Linked DNA regions of Caenorhabditis elegans. The protein of the gene in region 1 interacts with the protein of each later gene in a pairwise test. Each region holds a gene or a part of one and is shown in the gene's direction. Other genes may lie near its edges. The genes, in order: unc-130, nhr-5, nhr-8 and tbx-37.

What was found.
Region 2: the proteins of unc-130 (region 1) and nhr-5 interact in a two-hybrid assay, tested with the Caenorhabditis elegans proteins (one large-scale study listed by BioGRID).
Region 3: the proteins of unc-130 (region 1) and nhr-8 interact in a two-hybrid assay, tested with the Caenorhabditis elegans proteins (one large-scale study listed by BioGRID).
Region 4: the proteins of unc-130 (region 1) and tbx-37 interact in a two-hybrid assay, tested with the Caenorhabditis elegans proteins (one large-scale study listed by BioGRID).

The regions. Positions count from the first base shown.
Region 1 is NC_003280.10:11,279,308-11,286,113, forward strand, and holds unc-130 (Forkhead box protein unc-130), read left to right. Parts: upstream 1-2,658; 5' UTR 2,659-2,687; coding exon 2,688-3,025; intron 3,026-3,459; coding exon 3,460-3,786; intron 3,787-4,026; coding exon 4,027-4,363; 3' UTR 4,364-4,652; downstream 4,653-6,806. UniProt on the Caenorhabditis elegans protein: Probable transcription factor. Binds to DNA sequence motif 5'-CTGTTTCA-3'.
Region 2 is NC_003282.8:15,397,405-15,407,972, forward strand, and holds nhr-5 (Nuclear hormone receptor family member nhr-5), read left to right. Parts: upstream 1-2,872; 5' UTR 2,873-2,928; coding exon 2,929-2,998; intron 2,999-3,046; coding exon 3,047-3,108; intron 3,109-3,118; exon of another isoform or gene 3,119-3,139; intron 3,140-3,367; exon of another isoform or gene 3,368-3,388; intron 3,389-3,565; coding exon 3,566-3,704; intron 3,705-3,752; exon of another isoform or gene 3,753-3,773; intron 3,774-3,883; exon of another isoform or gene 3,884-3,904; intron 3,905-3,927; coding exon 3,928-3,990; intron 3,991-4,065; exon of another isoform or gene 4,066-4,086; intron 4,087-4,167; exon of another isoform or gene 4,168-4,188; intron 4,189-4,393; exon of another isoform or gene 4,394-4,414; intron 4,415-4,423; coding exon 4,424-4,596; intron 4,597-4,660; coding exon 4,661-4,906; intron 4,907-5,038; exon of another isoform or gene 5,039-5,059; intron 5,060-5,758; coding exon 5,759-5,907; intron 5,908-5,937; exon of another isoform or gene 5,938-5,959; intron 5,960-6,090; exon of another isoform or gene 6,091-6,112; intron 6,113-6,469; exon of another isoform or gene 6,470-6,494; intron 6,495-6,619; exon of another isoform or gene 6,620-6,640; intron 6,641-6,656; and 29 more. UniProt on the Caenorhabditis elegans protein: Orphan nuclear receptor.
Region 3 is NC_003282.8:7,708,041-7,715,756, forward strand, and holds nhr-8 (Nuclear hormone receptor family member nhr-8), read left to right. Parts: upstream 1-3,103; 5' UTR 3,104-3,108; coding exon 3,109-3,189; intron 3,190-3,737; coding exon 3,738-3,830; intron 3,831-3,878; coding exon 3,879-4,171; intron 4,172-4,496; coding exon 4,497-4,593; intron 4,594-4,639; coding exon 4,640-4,847; intron 4,848-5,050; coding exon 5,051-5,251; intron 5,252-5,297; coding exon 5,298-5,768; intron 5,769-5,815; coding exon 5,816-5,885; intron 5,886-5,960; coding exon 5,961-6,129; 3' UTR 6,130-6,158; downstream 6,159-7,716. Other genes in the region: mrpl-1 (39S ribosomal protein L1, mitochondrial), read right to left, coding at 1-633, 683-908, 959-1,043; emc-6 (ER membrane protein complex subunit 6), read right to left, coding at 1,258-1,463, 1,507-1,586, 1,639-1,688; mrps-24 (Small ribosomal subunit protein uS3m), read left to right, coding at 2,007-2,099, 2,148-2,253, 2,306-2,406, 2,491-2,685; F33D4.6 (aECM cysteine-cradle domain-containing protein), read right to left, coding at 6,301-7,107, 7,272-7,343, 7,429-7,689. UniProt on the Caenorhabditis elegans protein: Orphan nuclear receptor.
Region 4 is NC_003281.10:11,222,581-11,229,633, reverse strand, and holds tbx-37 (T-box protein 37), read left to right. Parts: upstream 1-2,508; 5' UTR 2,509-2,515; coding exon 2,516-2,721; intron 2,722-3,609; coding exon 3,610-3,928; intron 3,929-4,333; coding exon 4,334-4,750; 3' UTR 4,751-4,826; downstream 4,827-7,053. Other genes in the region: Y47D3A.13 (DUF4349 domain-containing protein), read left to right, coding at 5,606-5,794, 5,871-6,092; wht-8 (ABC transporter domain-containing protein), read right to left, coding at 6,968-7,053. UniProt on the Caenorhabditis elegans protein: Transcription factor. Required for mesodermal induction, acting redundantly with transcription factor tbx-38. Together with tbx-38, acts by inducing cell fates in the AB lineage, thereby playing a role in development of the anterior pharynx.

The DNA.
Region 1 (6,806 bases):
TGATCAGGGCTTGAATATTAGAAGCTAATTTTGTACTTTTTGTCTAAAATGGTTCTAATTATTTATTAAAATACCTTGGGTAGAATATCGAAGAGCCCAACTGGTCTCATGTCTCGCCGGAAAACGCGTCCTTTAGTTACTTGCGATCATATTTTTATGCTATTCGAGTTCCTTTTATGCTATTCGAGAGCTATTCGAGGAGCTACTCTTCTATTTTGGCTCTGATTATTTTTTGTCACTGTTAGAATTTCTATAGGCACGACTGACGACCGCTTTTTTCCCGGAAAACGCCCCACGTAAATTTGCACGCATACTTTTGGTTGGGAGCCAGTGGGGCGAGGATCCTCCCCTTCACGTAACACCTCAGTCTTCCGAGTAGGAACAAAATCGCAAAACTTTCGTGGTAAGACCACCGGCACCCCATAAACATTTATTAAGTAACACACACACAATTAATGCGTTCCTTCCCACTGCCAATCTTCTTATCAGAAAGATGAAATGACCGTCTCAACCGAGCCTGTGTGTCTATTTGTGTGTGGCCTTTGTAATAGTTACCACCTAGCTGATAACCGAGAAAGTTGGATTACCTCATGATTCCCTCATAAATTTGCCGACAGGTTCTTTAACGAAAACATATTTGTCTTTTGATTGTCTATTCTCTATTTACAAATTGATAATTGGGAGAATGCCACCCAGAATTAGTCGATTTAAAATTGAGTATGATCTACATAGATCTGAGTAGTGGTTGATCACAATGATATAATTATTATATATTAGTATCATTTTCTCTTTCTCTCTCTCTCTAAATTCACCCTGTCATCAGTGATGATTCTCAGTTTCGAGCGGCGGAGGGGCGAGCGTGTGGGCGGAGCCGCGTGTCCAATGAGCGTGGGGCGGGGCGGTCCAATTACCGGTGTTTTCTTTCGTTTATTCGCTTTTTGTGACTATGACACCAAAACGGAAGAATCAGTGGATCAGGCAAAAATATTATTATTAGAACTAATAGTTGGATTTAGGTTGGGTATCATTCTGTACCTATTTCACCTGATTTCTTGTGCTTCACTTGATCTTTGTCTTTATTATTATTGTTATTATTGTTGTTGTGCTCCTTGTTGTGCTCCTTATAAATCCCGTAAACTCTAAATCTAAATTGTTATCTAATACTTTTTATTGGTTACCAATAATATTACTTCTGCCAAAAGAGGCAAAACGCCGCGTTTCAAAAAATGAAAATTTTTATCTGTTGTTCATCACTGTCAAATTTATGATTATTAATATTTCTCACCATTCAAATTAAAACTTTTGCTTCAAAACTACATAAAACATTCAAAAACTTGAAACAAATTTTATTCGATTTTTGCAAGTTTTTTATTTAAAAAAAATTATACCGTATTTTCCCTAGCATTCATTTTGCTCATATCTCGGTTGTCCCAAGTTTTATCAAAAAAATTTTAACTGTCATAATGTAGAAAAATAATTTTTCCATAGTTTGTAAGTTGACAATTTTTTGATAGAACCAGAGAGAATCGAGATATAAGCTGTCAAAGAAGAGCAAGGTGCATGCAAGTCAAATAGGAAAATAGTGGGTTTTCCGGTTTACAAATTCGCATAGTTTTGAATTTTTTACAGAGTTTTCACCATTTTAGAGAATTGCTCACATTTTCTGAATTTTTTTTTCAAAAAATTAACTGGTACCTAAATTGAAATTTAAATATTTTGAGCAGAAGAGGTGAAACTCTTTTTTTAAATTTTTTAATTGCTTCTCATATTGATACTATTCTCTTTTTGTGCCAAAACTTCTAATCAATGCCCCGCTCCTTTCAAATCCTAAAGTTCCACTTAAAAACTGAAGAATCAAAAATCTTGAAACCTGTACTGTATGTACTCTTCCAAAAAACCACCTCCGTGCTTTTCATCATTTACAACTTGTCTCCCAGTCCTCGTCCGCAACTTGCTTTTGATATATTTTTTTCGACTTCTTCATTTCAACACATACCTACACACACAAAAAAAGTTTGCGCTAACACATGTCCGCCCGTCATAAATCTACAGTAATCTCGGAGCTTTCTTTCTCTCTCCTGATGCTCCCACACCACTCTGTCATTTTTCAATTGTTCTTCTCTTGGAAGCTCATCTCTCGTTTTCATTTGATCCTGCTAGAAGACACTTGATATGTTGTTTGTGTTAACTAAGATAACTGATATTGTTGAAAGTGATAGCTTTGCTTTGCTTTTCAACTTTTCGTGTTCCTCCTGCTCTTTTTTTTGACAGCTTACTAGTACCGAGTTCGGACCCCTGCATAGTACTACAAATATTATATTAATATGAGAATGATATACCCTTATTATCCCCCCACGTACTCTTGAGAATCATTAGTATGTTTCAATGTTTCGCCAACAATGGATTGGTATCATCTGCCCTTACCTACCGTACTCCCTCAAGTGCTCCCTCATCCATGATTACCGTACTCCCCTACTCTCCTCCCCCTTCTATCCGATTATAACATTTTTATTAATAATTATTATTGTCTGGTGTCTCGCGATGCCATCTCTATCTTACGATTTCGCTTTGAATTTTGATAACGCTATGAAAATATTAGCTTTTCTTATCTTTTTTATGTTTTACTTTTTTTCATAATTTTTTCATCAACTTACTTGCAGAAACTAACTAGGTAGACACCGGTAACAATGCTCTTTTCCATGGAATCAATTCTATCAAGTACCAAGCCAAAACTGGAGCCACCTCCGAAGCTAGAGCCGGAAGTGACAATCAATGAGCAAGTGGTTGATCTGCCGCGGAGCAACACACGGCTCTCCGAGCCATCAACTTCTGCGTCGGTTCTTGAACATGATTTGAAGTTTGGGGAGTCCCGAAAAAGAAGTCGGTCTCTTGGAGACGAGCCCACGGAAGATGAAGACGGCGTTCCAGTTCGGAAGGCAAACAAAAGAAATCATTCAACTTCAAGTGCTGCAGATAGCTCATCTGATGATGCGAAGGATGATGACGACGATGATGATTCTACATCGTAAGTTGGGAACTTGGGAAAAACTTAGGAATCTTAGAAGAAATTCGATTTTTCTCGACCTCGACCTTTTAGGTCCTTTTATACAAAAAGTTTGTATGCTCAATTTTTGTGAAACTTTGATCTCCGATATTTTTAAGTCTATTAGACATTGTTCAACTACCGTATTTTCCCTGTATGACTTGCATTCTCTTTACTCTAACTTGACGGTTTATATCTCGGTTGTCCTAAATCTTACCAAAAAAGTTTAACTGTAAAAATGTAGAGATATATTTACATGCATTTTGTCAGTTGACAATTTTTGATGAGACCAATAAAAACCTAGATATTGGCTGTCAAAGTAGAGAAATAGGTAGAGCAATATACCTATAATATGTACAGTGATATGTACAATAATATGTACTGTGTAAAACAACTGTAACTCTATAATTTTGCAGTCGAAAATCAATGTCTGGTCACCGAAAGAGCAGTCACGCAAAGCCACCGTACTCCTACATTGCACTCATCGCGATGTCAATTCTCAATTCACCGGAGAAGAAACTGACACTTTCGGAAATTTGCGAGTTCATAATCAATAAGTTCGAGTATTACAAGGAGAAGTTCCCCGCCTGGCAGAACTCGATTCGTCACAACCTAAGCCTCAACGACTGTTTTGTGAAGGTGGCTCGGGGGCCTGGGAATCCGGGAAAAGGAAACTATTGGGCGCTGGATCCGAACTGTGAGGATATGTTCGACAATGGATCGTTTCTGCGCAGAAGGAAGAGGTAAGGGGAGCACAGGAGAAAGTATTACAACCTGACGGGGAGTAGTAGCCGGCGGCGGGGTGAGCACACATACGAGATGTGAAGAGAGGGAAAAGACAGTTGTTTCGATAATTTGTCACCAATTTGTTGTCATTAATCGCACCCTCGAGGGTAGTGGAGAAGCCTGGGAAAAGAAAACTTTCGGGGTTAACAAGGGAATTAGTGAGATAAATTTTCAATTCAAACACTTAATAATTTCAGATACAAGAAAAACAGTGACACATATCACGAAATGATGTCCCATCATCCGATGCCATTCCCTCCATTCCTCCCGCAAGGAATGCCCTTTCCTCCAAGAATGATGCACCCGATGGCTAACATTCCCATGCTGGGACATCCAATGAATCCAAGAGCAGTTCCAAACATGCCAGCGTTCTTCATTCCACAAAATATTGATAGCCAGAAGCTCTTGTCAATGATGGCTTCGAGAATAATGCCAATGGATGCTCCAGTCAGCTCTGGCCAGAAGAGAACTTCATCGAGCTCCTCACCAAATGAGAATGGATCTTCGGCAGTTTCAGATAAACTGAGCGCTTAGAAGAACACTCAATTTCCTTGTTTAATTTTTAACAATTGTTTCCTATTTGCTTAACCTTTTCTAGTCTCTTGTTCCTTTTCCGTTCCCCTTCAATTCCTTTCAGCATTCTTCATTTCCCCTGATCTCAATCGTGCAATCAATAATCAATTTTTTGTTAATCCTCCTGCACGTGGTACCACAACTTCATTTCTTCAACTGATCTTCCCTTTTCTTTTTTTTCTTTGTTTCATTATCTGTGAAAGAGCTTATGTCGTAAATAATTCGAAAATATATATGTCCATCGTCAGCATTTTTGAAGTTAAAATCACATTAATCAATTGAGCAAACAGTAAGATGAAAGGAGACCGCAGAAGCTGCTGAGCCGATTAAAAGACTGAAATTGATAAGGGAGGGAAGTGACAAGACTGCTGCAGAGTTACTAGTCTGCAAAATGTCATGAATCCAACAAAAAATCAGGGTTCAGAAGACTAGGTTTTTAGTAGAAAACATACCGAATTTTTCAATTAGTCTTGCACCAAATTTGCTCTACTTTGGCAGCTCATATCTCGGTTGTCTTCAATTTTAACAAAACATTTTCAACTGTAAAATCATAGAAACATATATGAAAAATATTTCTACTGTTGAAATTTTCGTGATAAAACCAAAAGCAGCCGAGATAAGAGATCTGAAAGTAGAGCAGAAGGGGTGCAGTACTAATAGGAAAAGTACCGTAACTTACCTTTTCCTAACTTTTCTAAATTAGATGGATATATAACTGGACGCGAATATTAGCCACAGACAGAGTTCCTCAGCCTCCAAGAGTCCTCATTTTTCCATATAACCTGGCTCCTTTGGACTAGATAGAATTTCTAAAAAGACGACCTATGCCTACTTTTCTGTGAATAAAAACCATTAAAACCATAATTTAAATCAACATAAAGCTACTTGTTGTTTGGGCAAATAATGATACTAACAATTAAATGAACATTTTGAAAACTATGCTAAGATTATTCAAATGTTATCCTAATTACCAAAACCCTAGTTTAACTCGGTGACTTTTTGAACTCCCGCCAAACCATATAATTATCTCAAGCATGTCGTCTTCATTTCTATCCTAATTAGATACCCATACATAGTGTATATATGTATATTCAAACTATACAAAACGGATATTGCTTATCAAATTCATTCATCAGTTTGCCACGTCAAATCAAATTATCGAGAAGTGTGTGTGGGGGTGCAGTTTCACCTTATGCCACCTCATGTTTCGTTTGACGGCACATGGTGACAGGCCCGATGAGATTTTGAACCGTTTAATTGATACTAATCGGTATCTTAGGTTGTATTAATGTAATTACAAATACCGTATTTTTTAATGGTATGCACCTAACTAGTTAGAGTTATCAATTGTATTGGACCAACGAAAAAAGCCGATACAAGCTTTCAAAGTCAAACAATTGGGTGTAATGCTAATAGAAAAAATAAGATAGTTAGGAAAAAGGTGTTGCCAAAATATAGGAGCCTCTGCTACAGTAACCCGTGTTTAAAAGTGCCAATATCCTAATTATCTCATACAATGCAAAACTCTCCATCACCACCTGCAACTACTCCGCTCATATACAAAACAAGGATTATTTCAAGTAGGTTGAGCATAAAGATGTGAGTACGATAAGTACCGGACAATAGCCAGCCAAAAAAGGCTAACCGCCAAGAGTATTTCCATACAAAATGTGCGTCGGCTAATCCGCAAATTATAAGGTGCGACATACACAAGTCGTCGAGGTGGCGCAACTTAAAGATTCATCTGATACTGGGCAGTGAGAGAGCGTGTGAAGTGTTATAGACGCAGACGCCAAGGACATGGAGTAAGTGAGCAGATTGTTATGCAACCGAGCATTTGAATACCATCTTGTTAGGTAATGGACCCATCGAGACATATATACATACATAAACTTGTAACACCTTCTGTTGGCAAGGGTGAACACATAAAATTTGTGTCTGTGTTTGTGGAGGACATTTGGGGGTAATCAGTAGCAGAACAAGGAGTTAGTGGGGAGGAAAGTGATCGGGTAGCACAATTTGTTATCAGTTTTGATACAGTACACTCGTTTTAGCACTGGTTTGTTAGTTTACGTGGTGGCCATTGTTTATTCGCAATGCCAAAATTATGATTGGGAGTTGATAGATTGACCTGCTACTATAGTTATTTCAGAGATTTTTACCTGTGTGATTAAAGGCGAATAGATCTTTTCTGGATTTTGTTAAAATTTCAGTCTACCATAACTTTTTCCACGATAAAATATTCCTTACAGACCGATTTGTCTGTTAATAGCGTTATGAAGGATGGCAGGCACGTTATCCTAATGGCTCAAGCCTGCCTGCCTACGTGCCTGATGGTTTTTTGCATTTAGGTGGGAACTACGGCATTTGAAGATCACATAGTGACCTTTATATCAACATGCTG
Region 2 (10,568 bases), on another chromosome or scaffold:
CAATGTCTCAATAAATTTTTTTGAAAAAATTTAAAGGACAATGACAACTTGTTACTTATAGTTGAAAGTAGGTGCCATGCTAATTCAAAAAGTTTACTGTTTCACAGTTATTTGAATTAAAATTTAATAGGACACAAAGGTGCTTTGTGCTTTTTCGAAATTTTGAGTTTTCTTTTTTTTAATTTTGTTCAGGGAAGTATTTTTCTAATTATGCTAAAGTTTTTTTTCTTTTTTTCTAGAATATTCTTACCAGTTTTGATGTAATAGATAGAAACGGTAAACTTCATATACTTAGATTTTCTGCTTTTTTTGAGTACTGCTCTACAACAGTGAGATACCCTGGAGGAGAGGTAAAACATATTTTCGTACGAGATCCTACCATTTTGAAAGTTTATTTAAAAATGCCTACTTCACTAATAACTTTTCTACAAATGACTAGAAAATAAAATTTTTTAATTGGAAATGTTTCAAAGATTACTGTTTCAAAATTTCCATGTAATTATTTCTCGTTAGAACAAGAGTAATGTCCAAAAATTCAGAATCCAGTTTTCATTAACAACACCTGTATACGGAAAAGTTCTGAAAATGCTTTTCTCTTTATATTGAGAAGCAATTTACAAGACCCGACATTTCACCAACAATCCTTTTGGGGGAACCCGCAAGATGTCGGGCGCTATCAGACTCAAAAAAAACTCTGCTAAAGTGTGCCGTAATAAAAAAGTAGCAGCCGACATATTGTCAGATTTCTGAGGGCAGCCCCGCGCGGTGTCGGGTGCAGAGTAATGTACTTATTCTCAAATTTCAATGATTTAGCAACATTTTTTAAAGTTTTCTTCATCCTTTTCTACCACACAGTTAGAAGAATAGTGATACGACCTTTAAAATTTCCGGGAAATTCAAAAAAAAAAAAACAAATATTGCTTCAACATTCTCATAAACCCTGTTACTTTTCAACGGTAATAATCTTGTCAATTTGTGTTAAAGCCGCAAAAATGTCTTTAATAATATTTCAAAAAATTGATCCAAGTTTTCCCTTTAGGACTTTAGGACTTACGGTAGAATATTTTAAAAATTGCAACAAAAAAAAAGAATATTGTTTCACAACCTCCATAAAATGTTCAGTGTTCCTTTAATCCCATTCGTATCGTTTTACTTACAATTTCCATTTTACTGAAATTAAAAATTTTCTCGTGATAAAAACGATTTCTGATATATTGCGAAGGCCAAATCGATCCAAATAATCAATCACCTCCAAACTTTGATCGTTCAACGCAAGAAGCCCGCTTAATTTGAAAAAATCGTCGTATTGGTCAAGTTTCAACTTCCCATCACTTTTCTCTCTCTCTCTCTCTCTCTCTCTCTCTCTCTCTCTCTCTCTCTCTCTCTCTCCACTAAATACTTCCAACCGCACAGTTCAAAGATAGAAGATATTTATTCCATGAGATAGTGTGCTGGACTGAAGAGAATCAGAAAATCTAGTCTTCTGATCAGAGAGAGAGAAAAAGAGACACATGACCGTACTTGACGGCGACTTGTTTGTCGGTAGAGGGGGCCTGATTCTTTTTTGTATTGATTTCTCTCTTCTGGGTTACTGATAATTCACTTTTTTGGAAGGAATTTTTGTGTTTCCGCGCAATAATGTTTTTTTTCTATATTTCGAGAATTCAACTTAGGTAATCAACAAGACGAATACTGCTGCTTACAATTTTTCCAGATCCCATAATTTTGAAACTGTAATAAAATTAACGAAAACATTTATTTTTTTTGCTAGCAGATTTATTAAGGGTTTTTGGTAAAAATCAGGAGGTTGTTAGAAATATTAACTTTAATGAACTTCAGAAAACGGTCTAGAAAATTTGATATTCCAAAATCTCATAGCATTTGCTAGTAAAAACAATTTAACAAATAAGCATCACCATTTTAATAATTACTGAAACAGCAAATTTTCAAAAAAAAATTACATAAAACTAATTTAAAGCGTTTATAATTTATAATTCAAAAATGTCTACTTTTTCTGAATGTTCTTATATTTTGAAGTTAAGTTTCTCGTTATTACAAAGTTGCTTCAATGTGAAATTTATACGCAAAAGCTTTGAATTTTGGAATAGCTTCTTCTATTTTTTCTGTTTCGAAAAAATAAAATTCGATAATTTTTTACCGAATTTTTTTTTGGTGCAGAAGAGATTTTAGAAACGGTAGAAAATGGTGGTTTTCAAGAGTTTTCAAATTTTTATTTTTAATAAAAAGTTATGTATTTTGAATATCCCAAATGTTCAGTTAATTTCAAAAAAAATTGATTGTTAAAATTCACAATTTTCTACTTTTTCTGAATGTTCTCAAATTTTAATATAATTTTTTGGAATCAATAATTGTGTCATATTCAAACTTACCAAAAATTTCTTAAAAGTGTATATAAAACTTTTCTGGAATAGCATTGCATTTTTCATCGTTTCAAAAATAAGACTTTTTGATTTTGGTTTGATTTCTAATTTTGAAAATGATTTAGAATAATTAAAATTTTGGTGAACACCCCCTATTGTCAGTAATATAAAATCGGAGAAATTATTGATTTTTTGAAACAGTAATGACACTTTTTGAATACAAATTTTATTTCTTCTGTAATATTTGTTGTTAATTATTCTATTTTTCCCATAATTATCCTTTTTTTTTTTCGAAAATCTACTTTCAAAGAATTTTTTGTAATTTCTTAATTGATTCCAGCTTATCATTTGAGATACCAAAAAAACCAGATATAGCAATTTTATAACAAGACAGGCATTAATTCACACTCTCATTGAAACAGTGGAATTTTTAAATTTTCGATTTTTTGAATCTTCTCTTCAATTTTCTTTTCATCTAATCATTTTTTTTTCAATTTCAGATAATCAATCTCATTGCAAAGTCTTTCAATTTAATTTGACATCAATTATGTCTTCTGGCGGTAACAGTTCAAATGTGAATAGAAATTCTGGGAGTAGCAATGTGATTACTTTGAATGGTATGATTCCCTGTTTGACCAAAAATTTTTAAACTTTAAAATTTTCAGATTCTGACGAAGAAACCGAGGACAGCAATTTGGGCAGCAGCTCGTCCACAAATCTTTGCAAAGTTAGTTTCAAATCTTTGCAAAGTTAGACTAGTATTGCACAAAAATTTCTAAAATTGTTCTAAACTTTTTGAAACAGTAATTTTTTTCCTATAAAAAAAGTTTCCACACTTTTAAAAGTTCCTCACTAAAATGTTCTGTGACCAATTTTTGTTTTATCGGATTACGGAATTTAGAGTCTGTTTGCATCATTGAACCACTCACAAAGGGGCACATATTTTGAAAAATCACGTGAGTTTTCGTATATGTAGTTAGGACGGGAAAGTTTTTTTCAATAAATTAATATTATTGTCTAAAGCAATTGCCATTCCTGGAGAAGGTGAAACAGAGCTTTATAAATTTTAAATTAAGTTGACAAAGATTTAAATACAAAACTTATCCTGAATCTTCGTTGCTACAAGTTGCAAATTCCCGTAAATTAAAGTAAAAAAATTATGGGGCACATCAATTACATTTCAGGTATGCGGAGCCGAAAAAGCTGCTCTTCACTACGGAGCACTGAGCTGTGTCGGATGTAAAGGCTTCTTCCGTCGGGCTCTTCTGAAGGCTGATCAACTGGAATGTGCTGCAAATGGAGAGTGTACAGTTAGTGTTTTGCGTGAGTTTGACATTGGGAATTGCGCAGTTTTTTACTTTTTTTTACTTTTTGAAAGCTATCAAAGTCATATTGACATTCTGTTTGAGTCAAAATGTATATTTTAGTGTTGAAACAGTAAAAATTATAAATTCGTTAAATAATTTTAATCATAAAACCTATGCAATTGCGCGCTTGAAACAGTTTTTCCTTTACCAAAGTCAATTTATTGTGTTTTTTCTTTCAGAGAAAACCCAATGCAGAAGCTGTAGATTCAATAAGTGCCTACGCGAAGGAATGAATCCTGCTTGTGAGTTTTATTTTCAATCCAAAATTTTTGGAATTTTTTATTTATTTCTATACGATTTTTAAATCGTGACATAAGTTCGAATATACATAAAAATAAATCGTTTTCAGTTAATACCTGAAAGTAAATTTTATTCTTGAAACAGTAGTTTTTTTTTTCAATTTTTGATTTTCCAGACTTTATACGTTTTGTGTTTTGATATCAATTCAATATTTAATTTTTCCGTTTATAATATAGCAAAAACAAAAAAAAATTATGCAGTAAAGCAGTTAAACATATTTGGAACAATATAGCAGTTTCGAATGTATTAAATACTATTGAACTCCCCTTTTTAAGACAAAAATTATTTCAAAAATTTTCAGTTTCAAGTTTCCCATAAATGTTTCAGCTTTTGTTTTAACGGTACTCATCCTTCAAATTTAATATGATATCTCAGATGTCCGCCCAAACCGAGACGCACCTCCAAAGCCACGTAAGCCGACAACTACAGTAGCCACGTGCGATCAAACTGATCGTGGTAGGACCACAAAAAGCCGCGAGGAGTGGATGAAAAAGATGACGGTTGAGATGAGAACAATATTAATGACACTGTTGAATATTGAGACAAAAGTAGGTATTTCGCGCGGGGGCCTCGGTTATCGTCGGCTGCTGACACAATTTCTATTAATTACAGGTAATGAAAGGAGATACACAACAAGAAGCATCAAAACTGTACCCGCTGAAAGGAATTGATAAGCTCAGTGATATCATTGAAACACCGATTCAATTAAAAGGAAAACGAACAGAAATGAGATATGAAGCATACAGAATGGCTGGAAATGATGAGTTATGTGCAATTGCCTATCGGAGGTTGATTGCTGCAATTGATTGGGTTGAATCGCTGTCACCACTGTTGGGACACCTAACGCCTCAGGATAAGGTAATAAATATTCTTTGCAAAGTGAGAAAATAATGGAATTTAGAAAAAATAAGTTTTAGAAAATTGAAAAAAATAAAAAAAAAATATTGCTTCACCCTATTTATTTAACTGACGTTTGTTTCTACAAAGCGCTCTCCATTCATTACTTGCTACATGGCTTTATCCTCAAATTTAGTTTTAAAGTGGATTTAATTATAATTGCTAGTTTTTCTTCAACTTTCTGGCCTGATACTAAATCTCTTTGAAAAACTTTGATTTCGCTGAAAAAAAGGTGAGAAGTTGACACAGAACACCTTTTTTCAATAGTTACTGTTTCAAAAGTCTTTAAAAAAAAATTCCAAAATTCCGAAATTCCAAAATTTTATTTTTCAGGATTTTTCTAATGTTGACTGCAAATACACTTAAAATAAAAAACTGCGTGGCGTGTACTGCAGACAACCTAATATTTAGGCCCCGCCTTTTTTTCGTCTACTCACGGGATAAAGGCGAAATTCGGGACCCCAACCAATATCATACCGCCGACATCTCACGGGTTCCGCGCGCCGCTGCGTTTAACTCGCTGTGGGCGTGGTGAGCTGTCTCCGCCCGCTGCGAGTTAAACATAGCTGCGCGTGGAACCTGTGAGATGTTGGCGGCCTGATATTGGTTGGGGTCCAAATTTTTGCCTTTTCTCCGTGAGTGGACGAGAAGAAGGCGGGGCCTAAATATTAGGTTTTCTGCAGTACACGCCACACAGCTTTTTTTCATTTTTAGTGTAACATCATTTGCACAAAAAAATTGGTTTCAAATTGTTTTCAAAAAAATTCCCAATTTTAACTTAAAAATCACGCTTAATTAATAATATTCCCTCAGATAGCACTGGTCAAATCTTCATTCGCCCCACTTATGGTCTTCAATTTTTGTGCGAGAACAGCAGAAGCTTGTCAGGATGAGAATGTTCTATGCCTTTGTAATTTTGCATATGTTCCACGGAATATATCAAAAATGTATGAGGACACATAGTGAGTTTTAGTTTTTTTGAATTATTTTCTTGGACTTTATGAGAAGTTTCAATATTAAATAGAATAGCTAGCTAGAATTCACTAACAATGTGAAACAGTAAACATTTCTTATTCATATTTGTTTATAAAGTACATATGTGTCCAATTTAGGAGCTTGACGGAAAATTAGCGAGGCAATCACAAAACCTTACAACAATTTGAGAAACATTTTTTCCTAATTTCAAACACAAAAATAATGTTAGTGTAACAGTGAAATTTTTTAAAAATCAACTAAATTGTTTTCTAGGTATTTCTTCATTTTAGAAATGAATTTCTAAAAAAATTCTTTTTTGTTTAATTGATAATGCCAATTGAGAATATTACTTGTACAAATGCTTTCACGACTTTAAATTTTCATATGTACATATGTTCTTTGCTCTTATTTAAGACTTATGACGCCACGCCACGTTGTGTGAGTTTGACAGCAAATTAACGGGGAAATCAAAAAATAATAAAATATTTTGATAATGCCATTTGAGAATAATACTTGATTTGTCTATATTTTGAAGACAATTTTCACTTATTTGGTTCGATGTTCTTGTAATTAAAGCCTCAAAAAGATCATGCACTTTTCAAATAAGTTTGAAACAGTGAACAATTTTTCAACTTGAAATGTTTATTCTCGTTCCGTTTCGGTAAACTATTATATTAGTCAGCATTTTCAAGAATTCATTACTTTTGTATTTCTTAAAATCATTTCAAAATTTCAGTCACCTCGGCAACGGACTCGTGGAACGTGCTCTAAATGAGCTTGTAGCAGTATATCGGGAATATGGTATGAGAGAAGAGGAAATTGTTTGCGTGAATGCAATGATTTGTCTGAATCCTCTGGCAAAAGATGTATCGGATTCTTTGTTTGAAAAGATTGTTGAGCTGAGAAATCGAATTGCTGATTGTCTTTTTTCAATTGTTAAGGAGGTTCGATTAAGTCCGACACCGAATGTATGTTACGGACATATACTTCTTTCATTGGCTACTGTTACAGTAAGTTCATATTTGTTTTATTTGTTTGACGTTGAACAGAGTTTTTAAGGGATTTGAAACGTTGTTTTATTTTAAAAATTGATTTTTTTAAAAATGGTAAAACTTTTTTTCCGTTTCGTGTAATGATAAGCAACAATGGGTTTCGAGTGATTTGTTCAAGGCGCTTTAAACGTTATAGGCTTTTACTGATTTGACGACGAGAAAAATATTTGTAGAGGGTTAACTCACAATTTTTTTGGAAATGTTCAACTAGAAAGAAAATGAAATTTTAAAGTATTAAAATCTTAACTTTGCTTCTACACAGTCACACATTTAAAAGTTAAAATTTTGAAAATCTACCGTTTCAACAATGTTTGATATTCATTTATTATAAATCTGAACTGTTTGTTTTTGGATTCATATTTACTTGCCTCATTCGAATTTATTCTAAACTACTTTTATAGTTCATAACTTCTCCAAATTCATGTTCCCCAATTTTTGCAGGAACTAGCAAATGCGATGAGTGAAAATCTCCAATTTGCTCAAACATTTTCAAATCAAGGAGAAATTCCACTTCTCACTGACTTATTCGGCTGTTTCACAGTTGAACCATTTTTCAAAGAAGTCGACGAGCTGGCGGCAATGAGTTTGGAAAAGGCGAAAGCTGAAAAGAAGAAGGAAATGAGTACACAAACTGATAGGTTGCCTCCTCCAAGAGCATTATTGGTCAGTTTTGATATGAATTTTGAAATTTCAAGAAATTGTAGAAATACATTGTTCTGCCAAAAAAAATGATTATTTTTTTCGATTTTTTTTTAAATTATAGTTTTCAATAATACAAAAGAGACCAGACTCGCAACACATTTTAAATTAGAACATGATTTACATTAACTTGACGAAATTGTACTTTTTTTTGAAAAAAAAAAGTTTACTGTTTCGTGGCTATCATTTAATTCAATACCAGACTCTTTCATATTTTATGCAGTTCTCTAACCGAGTAATATTTTCAGAAACGACAAGCAACTATCGATGAGGACAGCGAAGAACCTGCTCGACAGAATTTTCGACTTTTGCAGCCTCCAAACAATTTCTACATTACTGAAATGTTGGATGATTTGAGGGTGAGCTATATGTTTTTAGCATTTTTTTTTCGTTTCCTTTGTGTTTGCAAGTTCCCCATGAGACATAAAGAGTCTGAAATTTTTATGAGTTACTTATTCTTTTCACAGTTTTCAAGTGATTCAAAATACCAGTAAGTTAATATGAAATATTTTTCTTCATAAGCGACCTGCACATCATTGTGTTTTTCCATTAGTCATTAGTTTTTCAAAACTAGTTGAAACATACAATTTTTCTTGAGAATTCCAATTCCAAACTCTTCCGTTTTGTTTTTTTTTTAAATCTACTTTATTTATGATTTAGTTTTGAAAACGAATCACATAAAGTGAATAGAAGTTTATCAATTTTCAAATTTATTTTTTTAAACAATCAAATTGTTATATTTAGCTAATAAGAAATGATTTTTTTAAAACTCACCTAATGTTAATTTTTAGAAGAAAAACAAATTATTCTACATTTTTATTAAAAATTTATTATGTTCCATCTGAAAGAAGATAGAAATTAAAGCTGAAATTATATAACTGATATTTATAAACGTTTTGAAACAGTACGAAATTTGTTTTTTTTTTCAAATTCTTATTTCTCGACGATTTGTTATATGGAATAGCTTTAAAAATCAATTTTATATTAACAACTCGAGAAACTGAAAATTTTGAAACAAAAAAAATTAAATCAACTGTTTCATCTACTCTATATTTTCTTTCCACTTTAAAATTTTTTTAGTTCGCTCGTGTTGGCAGATAATTTCAATTTTCAACATTTAAATGTTTTTAACACTATTTAAATCCTTCAAACAAGAACGTTAATTTCTAAAAAAAAGTATTTCTAAAATTAAATCAACTGTTCTACTCACTCCATATTTTCCTTCGCTTTAAGATTTATTCAGTGCTTCTAGCAATTCCACAATACCTACTTTTCCCATTTCCCACATTTTTTCCATTGTCTCCCTACGTGTTCCAGGCACCCTCTTCCACCCAATCGTCGTCTGATGATCCTAATTCTGCTATGGTATCCACACTGTTTTGAAATTAAATTTTATTCATTTTTCAGAACAATCACGCCGAGAATCATTTGATAAGTCTCAACTTTGACGCTTCAAACGTTTCGAATGCAATCGCTTCGAGACCCAGTTTTGAGGATTTGGGTACTGTACCAAGTGGTTCAACAGTAACACGACGAATTGGGAGTAATATTCAAGGTTTGTGATTTAATGATATTTGAAACGGTCTGATATATTGAAAAATTGTTCGACAATTTGAATTTATTAACATTGTGAAACAGTAAAAAACATGTTCTAAAATTTGTGTTTCTGGAGTTGCCAAAAACCATTGCTCATGAAAAAAAAACACATTTTCAACATTTCCAGGACCATCCCACCTCCCTCAATGTGGTTCTACAGTAACCCAAAGACCTACAGTACCCTCCTCCACAACATCCTCCACATTCTACAATTTCCCTCCACCACCTGGTTATCCACCATTAAATGCTGGATACACACCGAATGTCAACTATCCGAATTTGTATCAACAACCACAGTATTTCCAGAATTTTCAGCAAAATAATTACCCATCTCAAGTCATGGAACAGCAAAATTATGGAAATGTTGAAAGTACCAGTTACCCATTTCCACGAAATGATGGTTTTGTGTATAATCATCCGAATATTCCATACTCACATCATAATAATAGTCTACAACAAAATAATTTTCATAATCAATATGCAAATTAGGTCTTCAAATGATCAAGCGTCCGACACCTGACGGGCCAGAACCCGTAAGATGTCGGGCGCTTTTCTTTTCCCCCTCCTCCTCCACATTTCCTACAATCCGGTGGCATAATTCTTCACTTTTCATATGGTTTTCTATTTGGTCAAATGCTGATGATTTACGTGTAATTTCTCCCGAATTTCTATCAAATTTCTTTGCGATTCTTGCGATAATATGTGATTTTCAAGGTTTTATGAATAAAATTTTATATTAAACTTTTGTGTGTTTTCAGTTTTTGTTTTGCAAAAATTTTAATTTTTTTAATTTGACTGGTATAATACGAGGCAAAGTAAAGCACAATAATCTTTGATAATTTTGTAAAGTTTTTGAAACGGTAGATTTTTTTAAATAATTTTTTTTCAACACTTAACAGCTCTATACTAATTTCACGGTGAAATGTTCTGTTTTTCGATTTTTCCTGGTCAGATTAGGGAATTCGAAGTTTGTTCTTATTTTCAACATATATATTACAGAATGATGTGAATTTTTGGTTTTGAAAACCTTGATTGATTTGATTTAATCATCAAAAAATGATCATTTTATGTAGAAAATGTGAAACAGAGCATACACTTTTCTCGCCACTTGGTTAGTTCCGAGCATTTTTATATTGATTTTTAATTTTTTTTTTCAGAACCTTACAAAAACAGATTTTGAAATTCGAGAGGTCCACGATAGCCCGGCTTGCTCCCAGGCGGACATGCCTACCGTGCCTACCTTATTTTTTATTATTTCGCAAATTTTAGAGCTTATATAATATTTGACACCATTTGTCACA
Region 3 (7,716 bases), on another chromosome or scaffold:
ACAAATGAACCAAGTGCAGGATTACGATGAGCACATGCGGCTGCAATTACAGTTGCGATATTGGCTTCAATATGTTCATTTGGCATTGATAACCGTCCAACAACGCAATCACTGAGCCCCCAAATGGGATATACAGGATCTCCTTTGATATTAAGTTTCACTCCGTTCTTGAATTTTTCGATAAGCTCTGGAAGATTTTCTCCGAGACCTCCATTAGCTCTTGTTGGGAATCTCATTTTAAGAATTCCACGTAGTGGAAGAATCGATGATCCCATATCTGAATGAGATACACAGAAATCATAATCGTCCGTCCTGAACTGTCCCTTGATGATTTTTTTGATGGTATCTTGTCCAAGAGCCATTTCAGCTCCAGATTCTACAGCCAGTTCTTGAAGTTTCACATCATTAGCGAATGCTAAAATGGTTCTTTTTTCGTTATGATTGAATGGATGAGGGACTGGGACAATTTCATCACTTCCTGTGACCATTTTCGTCTGCCTCTCAGTTGTCATGTTAAGTTCAAGGCGAAGACGGATTGGAGCATTTGGATTATTGTAGATTGATGGGCTTTGAAGTTCACGATGCATGTCAAGAGCTTCGGAGACTGTGTAGTATTGCGTTTTGAAGTGAGATCTGAAACATTTTAGAATAAAAAATAGAAATCACAAAACAGGTCTGATACTTTATGAAAACATCCAATGTTGGCTTTTCAGGGAGATTAGCTTCATCGTCAATGTTGAGTCTGCCTGGAAATTGTTGAGATGGTGATAGAAGATTTTTCATTCGCCGAATATTGATTTTTTCCATGAATGAGTATTGTTTTCTGGCTGCCTCTTTTTCTTCCCTTTTCATTCGTCTTTCTAGTTTTTGTTGGCGAGTGATTGTCTGCTTCAACGCTCTTTTACGCCCTTAAAATAAGTTTTTTTTAAAACTACATTTATTTTAAAAAAAAACGAACCTCTAATCTGAATAACATCCGCTGACGCTGGTCGTAGAATGTTACTCCCAGTAGAAGATACCGTCTGTCGAACAAACGATAACATCCTGAAAAGAACAAATGAAAAGTTTAAATAACAAGGAAGCACATTTATAAGGTTATTTTAAAGTTATTTTATCTGTTAAAACAGTGACGAACTATAAATAGGTAGATTAAAGCTGGATTGATTTATTAAATTGTATAAAATGTTGAAAAGAATAGATACATCTATTTTAGAAATAAATAAAAGGGAATGTAGACTTTCGCGAATAAAATGGATCTCAGTATACATGAACCATTCCGTAGAAGAATACCCAGAGCAGAACGAAAGTGAGAAGACCATTTCCGTGCGACCAAGTGAATGAGTTTCTTTCCGGAAAGTAGCTCAACCAGTTTCCTTGTGATTTCACGTTCCATATAACGGCCTGGATTCCAACAGAAATGAAATAGAGAATGAAGCCTTGAAAACCGGTAAGTCCGAGAATTCCTGTAAAAGAAGGATTTTTTAAATGATTTTTTTTGAAAATTACCTGCTGCCATACCGGCGGCGCACGACTGACACGTTCTTCCAAACTCGAGAGCTTCGACGTTGTTGGTTATCGCTGCCGTGCTGAAGAAATATATACATGATTATTGAATTCATGATTTTTACTTCGACTCACTTGTAACACTCATCGTTCTTCTTTTCTGCTTTTGACGATTTATCGGACATTTGAAAATCTGAAATTACAAATAACACTAATAATCAAAAAAGAACATGTTCTAGAACAACATAAAATTATTTAAAATTGAATAAAACTGGATTGCAAAGGGAATTTAAGAATTAAATAGAATAAATTAATAAATTTGTCTCTGAGAAATCTGTGCATTCTGACGTGACAGTGTATCAGTCCTGGGGAGCGCACTTGCAATATTCTTTTTTTAGCTAATTTTTTTTCTTTAAAAATATTGCATTTGCCTCGCTTTTATACTGAATCGCTTTTATAAATATATTTTTCTGCTTAAAATATTATTTTTATAAATTTCAGACATGCTTCGAAGTATACAACATGTCGAAGCCCTCAGCAGTCGTCAAATTTCGACAACATCGATGCTTCTCAAGAACAGAGCGGGTAAAACCAAGGTTTGTTGATCTTTCAATTATTTTCCCATTTATATTTTGCAATTTCCGTCTACATCAAATAGAACACAACTTCTTACATACGAAATGGCTCAAAAACCACATCATATTGGCGTGCGAAAATCGTGGCTCACATGGCATTCACAGAATCTCGAAGGTTTGTTCCAAAACTGAATTACGATTTAACAATTTTTAAAATTTGTTTTTAGAATTCCGTCAATCTCAACCACTGGTTGTTGCACAAGATGAAGTTGTTCGTCGGTTCATTCGAGGATTTTTCCCACAAAATTTAGTCGTTAGTGGAAATGAGGTAATAACTTATCAAAAAAATTTTAAAATTCAGTATAGTATCTATTTCTCTTATCCAAGTTTGCAAAACTTCACATTTTTCCAGATTGTAATCAAACGACGAGGAAACGTACTGATCGTTGCCGGATTCCTTCAATATTCGCGTCGACTCGATATTCGAAGAATCTACTGGATGTTCGGGTTTGCAGAAGAATTTCTTTCCATTCTTCTGAAACAACCAGTGAAGCTAGAAATGGCATTTGTGGAATCCGAAGAAGATGTAGCATACAACTATATCTAAAACTTTCATCTTTGTTATAGAACCGAAATACCGTAGTTTTATTTTACTTCTTTAATTGTTTCTGTTGTGTTCCAAAAAACAAAATAAATCTGAATTTTGGCATTTGGATTCTGGATTTTGGTCCCTGAAAAATATACGAGAGTCAACGATAAGACTTCATAAAATTATCAATCAGCGCATTGGTTTGACAAAAATCAATAAATATTTGTGCTCACTTCGCACACTGATAAGCAAACCCCATAGTCTTTCATACAAACTATTGCGCCCTTTCAATCGTCCTTTTTAACTATACGTGAATCACAGTTAACTATGCGTCGCTCATATAATCACTGATTATTATTCGTATCTTATTCCACTTGTGGTGTGACTTATCTGCAAAACCTAACAACATTTTAATCACTAAAACAAAAATTTCGTCATTCCATGCCTTCGTCTTCTCCATCGATGGACGAGTCTCGAAGGTCTGCTGTTCCACCAAAAGAGCCTGCTGGCAGAATTTGCACAGTTAGTTTTGATATTATTTAGAATATAATCACTTTATTGAAGAGCCTCTTGACGCTGGTTTAAAAGTTGAAAAAACCATCAGAAAGTTGTAATTTTATTTTGGAAACGGCGTGAGATTTTTCGATTTTTGCTTAAAAAATACGGTATCCGGTCTCGCCAAGACAAGTCTTTAAGGAGTACTGTAATTTCAAACTTTAGAAGAACATGCATATTTAACGTGAAAAACTAAAATAAAACACATAAATGTTTTTAAAAAAGTATTAATAGCTATGAATTATCAATGAAAATTCCACAGCTTGAAATTACAGTAATCTTCAAATGCACACAGCTTTTTGTACTGAACAAAGATTGTCGTGCCGAGACCTGGTACCGTATTTTTGACCTAAAAATCAAAAAGAAAATTCCGTTTGGATACATATCGTCTTTTCCAAAACGTAAGATGAGTTCCATAGTGGATTACTACAAATCTGGTGGTATTTTTGTAAAAATATAATAGAAAAACGTTTTTTCATTTATACTTCTAAACCAACAATTGTAATTAATTTTAGGTTTGCTCCGACCGTGCAAATGGATACAATTTTGGTGTACTCACTTGCGAATCTTGTAAGGCGTTTTTCAGGCGAAATGCTTCAAAGCATAAGGTTTTAAAAAAAAAAGCATACTCAAGTTGTTAAAAATTTTGTGTTAAGGAAATTAAATGTCCTTTCTCTGATTCTTGTCAAATCACATCAGCATCTCGCAAGTTTTGCCAAGCTTGTCGATTGAATAAATGTTTTGCTGTTGGAATGAACAGTGAATGGTTAAATGATTTGAAACCGAAGAGTTCAATTGTTTCTGGAAAATTCAAAAGAAAGAAGCCTGATATGAAGAATAACTTGAAAGTGGAAGTAGATGATACTGAAGAAGATTTGGAAAATGATGATGAAGAACAAATTAGTGTCCCCAAAGCATTACTTGAAAAGCTTATCAATAAAGCTAATGAGTAAGTTTCAATGAAATTATCCGGAAATAATAAACTACTGTTTCAACAAATTTACTATAATATAACGGGAAAATAACAAAAAAACGCCTTTACCCCAGAATGCAAAAACAGTAGCCGCGCACGTATGTAGGCATGAAGAAGTGCCTACCATGGCAGCCTTAGCACGTTCTCACATTTATTCAATTGAATCTATTTAATTAAAGTGGTCTCTCGATAACCTGTGATATGTACCGTATGAGAAAGTACAATTATCTAATCAGTAGATCACACAAGACCACAAAACTACGTCACTCTAGTAACAGACAATCGTACATTGAACTTTCAGAAAATCAAAAGACAGATGTACATGCAAATGCCAGTGTGGATTCTATCCAATTACTCAAAGACTCACCGCATACGAACCAAAGGATACAACAGCTGTGGTTAGTAGAGTTTAAAATACAAGAAAATCAATTATTTTATATTCAGAACAGTCCACAAGATATATCATTCTCCCATCATCTTCATCATTCGGATTCGTTTTATTCTTCATCTACTTCAACTCTTTCTCCAATGTCGGTTATCAGTTGTGCTCCATCTTCACATGATTCCAGTGGTTACAATACTTCTCAACTTGTTACTCAATCTCCAACCAACTACACAGTTTCTCCGGCGTCTATACCGAGCTCAATAACTGGTATGTTTTTAGGAGCAGCTCGTGAAGCTGAACGCTAGAACCTCACTGTCAAAAATGTTTGACAACAAGCCAGACATAACTCATCTAGAAGGCTATCACTACGAATTCAAAGTAGGCAGAAGAGTTACGTCCGCCTTCCGAGCCGACAAGAAAACACTTTTATTAATACGTACTGAAGTAAAGAATATACGTCTAAAATTTAGAACTGTCTCCACAAATGCCATCGCAATATCCTCCAATGTTATCACCATTTCAATTTGGTGTTATGGCCCAAATGGCTGCGCCAGCCAACTTTTTGAATTTTCCTCCAATGCCTGAAAGAACATGGACTCCAATTCAAGCAGTGTCCACAGTTCCAGTAACTGAAACTCTACCTCCAAATTTGCTAGAACAAATTCATTCAAGTACTGTTTCATGTCATCCATAAGTTTGAATTTTGCAACTTTTCAGAGATTGACAAATACATTGGAGTTTTGAATGAAGACGAGATAACTCTTTTAGAAGAACTTCATGTACAAAATGAGCCATTAAATGCTCCACTAATTCAATGGCACAATCCGAAAAGCATTGATGGAGTTTTTAGAATAATAGAAGAAGCTCTACGAAGGATTGTTAACATGGCATGCCAATTAAGTCTATTCCGAGAGCTTCACGTGGACGATAGGAAAAATCTCTTGAAAAGTGGATTTGGGGAGTTGTTGATTGTGCGGGGTCTTATGGCCTATGACAAGAGTGATAACAGCTGGAATCATTCATTTGGAGTACGAGGAAAAATGGAGGTAAAGGTGGAAGTTCTTAAGAATCCAAAACTTGAAGAACATTACAAAGCACACATGAACTTGCTTTCAACGTTTGGAGAAGATGTGAGGAATAATGAACATTTGATGCTCATTTTCAATGCAGCTGTTATATTTCATCCTCGTGAGCCAGTTTTTCAAAATTGATTCGTTTTAAAGTTATTAATTCAGATGTCTCCAACTTACGTGATAGTAAACGAGTGCACTCAACACAAGCAAAATATTTCCAGATGCTCTTGAAGTAAGTACTGTACGAGAAAAGCACGTATTGTATAACTTTTTGATTATAACATTTTTAATATTGTCCTACTTTCAGACTTCTTACATTTGAATATGGTAAATCACGTGCTGACATTGCATACAGTAATCTTCTGAATCAAGTCGTCGAGCTTCATCGTGTGAATAGGACCTTACTTCGTGTGTTTTATGGACTAGATATTGCTCAATTGGATCCTCTGATACGAGAATTATGTTCTTTTGAATAACCATTTATTAACCATGAATTATTGCACATATTGCACACTTATTAACATGAGAAAGTTTTTGAGAAAATTGCACAAAAGTCAAGGGCAGAAAGATGGAGAAAATATTACAAACAAATACACGTAGATCTGGATCGAAATCAAAATAAAAATTAATATAAAGGTATTAATTAATTACTCCTCTTTCAACCACTTTTGGCACTTGGCAACATAAGCATGAGAACGAGCACATGTTAGTGCTGGATAATAGTTCTCAATAAAGTAACAGTGCTCTTTTGCGAACTCTTCAACGGTATCAAACAAGAATTGACGTGCGAAGCTACGAAGGTTCAAGCATTGATGCTTTGTCACAACAGCTCTCTTTTTGTTTTTCTTGACACGTTGAGCACGTGTAACTGGAGCTTCAGTGGTGGTGGTGGTTGTTACATCTTCTTCTTCATCTTCAACTAACTCTTCTGCTTCAATAACATCATCTTCCTCTTCCTGTTCCACGGCAGCTGTCACAACTTCTTCCTCTTCTTCTTCTGGTGTAGTTGTTGGAGCTTCAGTAGTAGTTGTTGTGGTTGTAGTCTTCATTTTTGAGAGACGAATTCTCTTCATAACTCTCTTTCTAACCTCCTTATTCAAAAGTTCTTCTTCCTGCTCTTTTGTCAACATCTGAACCTTGCTGCTTCTCTGTTCGATAGCATCATTCATTGGAGTATCATTTTGAACTTCTTGTTGGGTTGTTTCCTGTCTTTTTGGGCTCTCTTGAACCTCATCAACTCCATCGAATTGCTCAGCAAACTCTTCGGATGGTGGGGAAACACTTGGAGCCACTTGGGTCTTCCATTGCTCGTCATAAAGATCTGGGAACTTGCGGATCTCTTTCTTTTCTTTCTTTGATGTTTTGTGACTCTTTCTCATCTTTCTCTTCTTCTTTGGTGGTTCAGTCGTTGCTTCTTCTTCCTCCTCAACTGGTTTCTCTTCAACCTTTTCATTCTGAAATGATAAAAATGAGGATTTTTAAACTAAAAAGATATTCCCAAATGAGTTATTAGTTGAATTTGCAGCTAACGTGCTGACAGCAATTGAGTGCAAATTAAAAAGGCCCCCAAAATTAACTTATCCGAAGGCATCTAAAAGTGCATAAAACAAAAAGTTACTTCTTCAACTTTGACGACACGTGGTTTGCGAATCTTTCTTTTACGATTGATGCTGTACACACGAATGCTTCCCTGAGACAAGTGTTAGATTAGCAAATGTGATTGATTAGAATGAACAGAGTATACCAAGAAGAGAGAGAGAATAAATAAGACTTACCTCTTTTTGAAGAATATTGACTGGTTCCTGTTCCTCCTGTGCTTGAATATCGATTGGATCACTCATCTGAACAGTTTTTGCTCCAAATTGACGAGAATGCATGTCTTTTCCCTTTTTTTCAAGATAATGAATCTTTCGTCTTGGAAGGGACTTGCGTTTTGGTTTAATTGTCTCTTGCTCAACTTCTTCAATTGTCGTGACTTCTGGTTCTTCGGTAGTGGTTGGAGTGGTAGTGGTTGTTGGATCAGTGAACAAGTTGATCTGAAAATAATGGAATTGAAACTATAC
Region 4 (7,053 bases), on another chromosome or scaffold:
CACGTGGCAATTCCAAAAGTGTCCTGGCATGCGTATGTACCAAGACATAGATATCTGCCAAATTTGGGAGATAGAGGTGTGTGTGTGTGTGTTACGGTTGAAAGAAGCGTGCCGCTTAGAACTACGCTTCAAAGTTTCAGAAAAAAAACTGAAAATTAATTTTTGCCAACTTTATATTAGGTTACCAAATAAGTCCCGTGTCAAAAGTCATAACTATTTAGAAATTATTGTGTGTTTTTCAGATGACCCTAATATCTCTAGCCGGCATCACATTTTTCAGACAAAATCGTATCTTTATTGTTTGAAGCTTTTTCCTGGATGTTATATATTTTTAAAATTGTATGCAGTATAACAACAAACAATCATACAAAAAAGATAGGAAAAAATCTACTGGGAAATTTTTTTTTAATTTTAAAAATTGGCTTGGCATATTTACTAAAAAATTTCCGAAAAAGATTTTTCCTTAATTTTCTTAAATGGACCTCTAATAAAAAGTTGTCAAAGTTGCCCATAGCAATAATAATTCTCAGTTTTTTCCAGAAACTTCGAATCTTAGCTCCAAGCGGCACGCGTCTTTCAACTGTAAGACACACACACACCCTTCTCTTCCAAATTTGGCAGGTATCTAGATACATTTCTTAGTACATACGCATCTAAAGTCATTGCCACGTGGCTTGGAAAACAGAGGACACACGATATATTGGAAAAATGGGAAGTCAAGGGATGACGTCACTTTGAACCACGTCCCTATAAAAACCGCAAAAGCCATTGAAAAGTTGAGAACTTGTGATGATTATTTTGTCAGTAATCGATTTCTCGAATCTCGACAGTTGGGAAAAATATTTAAAATTGTTAATTAACAGAAATTGCATTGCATATGCAAGTTTCAATTGGAAAAAAATGAGGAAAGGCTTAAAACTTATAACTCCTGTCACGCGATTGCTGTAGGGCAGAAGTGTGCGGCAAATTTGGCAAATTCGGCAAATTTAGCAAATTTGCCGTGATGAGCGAACTCCTAAAAATTAGAAAATTTCTGATATTTTTTTGGAGCACCAAAATTACGGAGTTCTTAGCACACGATTGATTTTTGAATAACGTCCATGTGGTCGGCCTACATAGAATTCAAAATAATTAAATTTTATGTTATTTTACTAGAATTTTTAGTACAAAATCAATAGTTTTTGTCAAATTAAAAAAATCCAATTTTTTGTGGTGTGCGGCGAATATCAAAAATATACTTTTACGAAATTTGCCGGATTCGGCAAATTTGGCAAGTTTTCTGGACACTCCTGCTGTAGAAGCTACTAAAAAGTTGCCAACTAATAAAATATTGTAAATTTTTTCACTATAATTTTTGTTGAAAAATCTCTGACAAATCCCATGATACTCCTCTCTAAATCATTCTCCCGCCCTCCCGCTGAGCACGACACATCTTCTCCTTCAGAGCCAATTCGCACCGCTATCACTAAAGTGTGAGGTGTCGAGGTGTAGGTGGAGGTATACTTTCGAAGTGTGAACTACACATTCTGGATTGTTAAAGACTACAGGAGCACAAAGATGCTCAGTGGGAGGTGAAAGAGGCGTTCTGGATTCTGACAGTAATATTGGCTCACAGTTTGGTGAGTTTTCAATTTTTTTTTTGGTATTTTTTCGTCTTTTTTGCTAATTCGTGGTGTAGCTCATCATTATTACTATGGTGTGAATTATTTTGAATTTTTTTGTTAAAAATTTTTTGGCTAGAAGTTCAGTAAATTGACACTTATAGGGTGTAAAAATGTGAAAAAACCAGCTAATAACTTTATGCCAAAAATTCTGGAAAATAAAATATCATTAAAATTGAATTACTTTAAATTTTGTGCAGGCAGACTACACTAACCTTATTGAAAAACCAAACGTTTGCTAAGAATTCCGTATTTTTATTTCTCCAAAAAACACATTTGCCGAATTTGCTGAATTTGTCCAGCTCGGCAAATTTTAAGATTTGCCGCACACCTCTGGTTTCAACCAAAAAAAGGTTTAAAAAAATGCTATAAAATTCGAATTTCCGCGCATTTTTTGATTTTCTAGAAAGTTCTTTTTACGTCTTCGAGTATGAAATAAAATTTGAGCTTCTGTTTAAAGTTATCTGCTCGCGAATTTCAAATCCAACATTTCCAGTGCTAACGGGGGTTTTCCATCTTTAATATTTATAAATTTCAACTACACTTTTCCAGTGTTCCCCCGTTAAGAATACAGCCTAACCCTCTGTTCTTCAATTAGGAGAAGGGCCCCCATGCGTTCATATGTATGTACCAAGTTGTGCCCGACTGCCACGTGTCCACCACTACGCGTGATCTACCTCTTCCCGCTCCTCCCACTTACCGGCTCAGTTTCAGAGCATGAGTGAGAGTGTTGTTTGCACTTTTATTACAATTAGCGCCATTATTATTATTTTATTGTTTTACTTCCGTTCTCACCTTTTGAAATCTTTTGTATTAATATTTTCATAATAATTTCCCTCTATTACAGCATCACTATGTACTCGTGCACCTCTCCTTCTGGAATTGAGGTCTCTTTGAACAAGCCGGAGATTTGGGAAAAGTTCTACCCGAAAACTGAAATGATTGTGACGAGAAAGCGTGGGAGAGTCATTTTTCCGCATTTGGATTATAACGTCAAAGGATTGGATCCGGATAGTCTCTACTCGATTTATATTCATTTGGAACGTGTTGACGGGATTAAGTGAGTTGGAATAAATGATAGAAAAAAGTTGTCAACTAGTAAGTAAATTGTAGGAAATTAAATTTACTACAATTTGGTAGTTGACAACTTTTTGATTAGATGCATGCCTAGAGAGATATACAAGTTTAAAGTTGGAATTTTAAACTGCTATAGCATAGAGTAAATTTATTTTGCTTTAATTGACGTAAATATTGAACTGTGATGACCAAATATAGCCGTTAAAATTTTTTCTAAATTTTTTAAATGATTTTTCAAACTGATTTTTTCCGGATTAAGTTTGCCAGGATATTTCGAAAAAGTGAGTGGAGTCTAATCTCCCATTTTTTTTTGACAAAATTAGAAAAAAATCATAAATTATTTAGAAAAGTTGGAAAATTTTTTTAACAGTTATATTTGGTCATTACGGGCTATTTTCTGTCACTTGAACCAAAAATTGTTTCTTCTCAGCTTCTGAAGTTCCAGCGCCCGCAACTCTTTTAGGAATTGCCCTATAGAAAAGCAGTTAACTAACAGTTTGTAGATATTTGAATTTTCTACAGTTTTTTAGTTGACAAAATTTTGATAACTTTTGTAGTTTTTGAAATATTGATGCTAATAATGCCCCTCAATATTAAAAATCGGAAAAATCGGATAAAAAGCGGATTTTAATGGGGTTATTCAAGTAATTTAGCAAAATGTATTGAAATACATTTGTGACGTCACAAATGTATTTAAATACATGTTTTTATATACTTGAATACAGTTGTGACGTAATTTTTCTACACTTTTTAATTTTCCGACAATACTTGAATAACCCCATAAGCGCATTTTTCTGCAACAAAATCAATATAAAAATATTCGTTTCTAATTTTCAAAAAAAATATCTCGTTTCTAATTTTCCATTTCCAGATACAAGTTCGATGCCGGAGAATGGAAAGAAGCCGGAAAAGGTGATCCAATTCTTCCAATCCAGTACAAAGAGCATCCACGTGGCAAGCGTACTGGAACAGAATGGATGAGTGAGCCCGTCTCGTTTGCTCACCTCAAAATCACTAATGACCCGGAAAACAAGGATCAGAAGCTGATTTTAGCTCAAAGTCTGCACAAATACATTCCAGTTTTGCATATCAAACAGCTGGATCCTTATAAAGGAACATTTCAAATGGATTTTCATGGAGTTGAATTTCGCTTGGAGGCTACGCAATTTATCGTTGTTACTGCTTATCAGGTTGGGATTTTCAGCAATATTTCGAAAACTACAAATGATATAAAAAGTTCACGGATTTCTGGTTTCCCTCATAAACTGAAATGGGAGAGTTTGTGCCGAACTAGGCATTTTGGCTCGGCCATATCTGGGGTAGATTTACGGCGCGTTGCGTGTCGCGTCGCGGCTCGATTGTAAAACAAAATGTATTTGTCCGTGTGGATGTGGTGTATCTGTGGTGTTTGCGCACTTTCGAAGCTACAGTAACCTCGAAATGGCCGAATTTGGCTTTAAAAAACGGTTTAGTTATAAAAAAAAATCGAGAGTAATTCGAATTTGAGCTTTAAAATTTTGAAAAATCATACATTTTTCCCGTAGTTTTTAATACAAGTCTAGGTAAATGTTTACCAATTTTATGTAATTTTCCAGAACGAAGAACTCACAAAACTCAAGGTCCATCACAATAAATTCGCCTCCGGATTCCGTTCAAATGGCAAGAGACGGCTTTCTTCAGAGTCTGAAAATTCGGAAAACTCCCCGCCAAAGCGCAGCGCCTCGGCAATTTCTTCATTAACCCCACCAGCAATCTCCCCGCCAATGGATTATACCCAGCAAAACCCATATTTTTTCAACCAAAACTTTTTCTCGACTCCGCAGAGCCACCAGCCACAGTTTGCTGCTCATAGTGCCAATGCTCAAAATTACAATAATTTTGGAGCTCAAAATGGGGCTCAATTTGATTGGAATGTGTATTATCAGAGACAATGGTACTGGCAGCAGCAAATGATGATGTCAGGTGGAATTGGACAACCACAAATGCTCAATAATGGATTTCCGAATTTGTGATTTTTTTTAAATATTTATATTTATCGCTTTTTTTTAATTTTTAGCTTTTACAATGATCTTGAAAATAAATTTATTGAATGCACTTTTAATTGAGGATTGTTTTCATAGAATGTAGATAGTTAGCGAAAGTTGGCGAAAACTGCCGCAAGTTGCCTAAAGTTGTTGTAAGTTGGCGAAAGTTGGCGAAAGTTTACGAAATTTACAAAAAAATCAGGATTTGCCGGAAAATTAGTAAAGCAAAAGCCGTTTAAAAATTGCCGATAGTTGGTGGAAAGTTCCAAAATTTAGGGTAAATTATTTTTAAAAACGCAAAAAAATAGCAAAACTTCCCAAAAGTTGCTCTGAATTCGAGAAAATTATGAAACCGATTTTTAAATAATTTATTTATTTATATTACCAGCCGTGGACCGCACCTCCGGCGCGGCCCCCGACTTCTGGAGCTGAAAACCAATTTTTCTGAGACTACCGTAATCATACAGTACTCCTACCGTACCACCATTGTACCACTACAGTACGCCGACTATATCCCTACACTAACCCCAACTCACTATCCCTCCAGAAGCTAAAACTTCACAGACTACAAAAACTACATAGACTATAAACTATGGACAAACGGAATAAGCGCTTTATATATAGTAAATGATAATTAAAAAAATGTTTGAAATAAAAATAAAAAAGTGAAATTTCAACAAAAAAAATCAATAACCTTTTTGACCGTGACCCTTAAGCTCCGCCCACAAATCGATAGGTATAAAAACGCAGATTTTTCACTAATTCAGTCATTCCTTCTGTGCGAAGAAACACAACAAAAAGAAGAATATGATGGTTGGATATTTGGCTGGATGTATTGGCATCATGTTGGTGCTTCAATTGTCAATTGTCAATTGTCAACTAGTGCCAAGTGAACGACACAATCAGAAGATAGCTGAACAGATCAATGATTACAATAATGATCCACATATCATCAAGGCCGAGATTTCTGCACCGGATGTCGTTGTCAACAAGTATACACTTCAGGATAAGAACATTTCTGCCGCTCTTAAGGTTAGTTTTTTCCGTTGCAGAAAATCGAGAAAAATCGATAATTTCGTTCTGAAAGATCGATAATTAAAAATTTCAGAAACATGTTGCGGAAGCGGCGGCACACTTTGCAACAATGACTGACGCTGACCGTGACGCCGCAGTTGTCCAACTACCAAATGCAAATCATACTGGAAATGGAGGAGGAGGAAAAGGAAAACGATCATCTGGCATGAAAATCGATGTGGAAGGAACAAAGAATCTGCATAAGCAGGCGCTGGAATTTCTCGACAAGTATGATGTTGAACTCCACGTGGAGTAGTCATGGTCAATGACGTCACTTGTTCGGAGTTAATCTGTATGCTTGTGTGTTGATATGAAGGTTTTTGTATTTTTTTATTAAAGAATGAAGAGGTTGAAAGGACTTTGTTTAGTATATTGGATTAATGATATTGCAAAATATATAATTTCTTTGTAGATTATTGATTTTTTGTAGAGTACGGATTTTCACTATTTGTTTTGTAATTTGTCGTCATAAATTTCACAGTGCGCCTGAGAATCTCGATAGTTTTCCCTACTTCCCTCAAAAATCGATAATTCAATTTATTCGAATGAAATAGTTTTTTCACAGTGCCTCACGCCTGCCTCTCGTCTTGCTTCTACTCGCCGCGCTAGGCAGGTCGCCGGCAGGCATTTTGGCGCCTGCATTGACGCCCTACAATTTCTACAACTTCGGCTTTAAAAAATTCTTAAACAGATTTGGTTCGTGTCAGCTGAAAATTGCAATTTGGCAAAAAAATGGTTTGTTTGGAAACCACCAAAAATTATTTTTTCTCGTCAAAAAAATCGATAATTCGGTTGTTGTGAAAAATTATTAATTTTTGCCTGTTTTTCACTAAAATCTAATTTTTCGAATTTTAATTTTAAATTACGGTTATTCGCTAAGTTCAACTCTCCACCACGGGAAAATTTTTTGCGAATTTCATAAAAATTCATAAAATTATTTAGCATAGTCAAAAATACCAGAAATTTTAGAATTGTACCAGAAAATCAATAAAATCATAACATCGAATTTTGTTTTTCGGAAAATCGATAAAATCAATTTGTACTTCTGTAATACATCTGTAAAATAACCTAAAACGGTTTTTATCCACAAATCATCATTCAAAAAGAGTGCAAAAAGAGTTCAATCAATAATCATCGATTGGCGATAACTCTCCGCACGAGACCCATATATCCAACAATATAAATGATAATTGTCAAGTAGATCATCGCAACCCAAT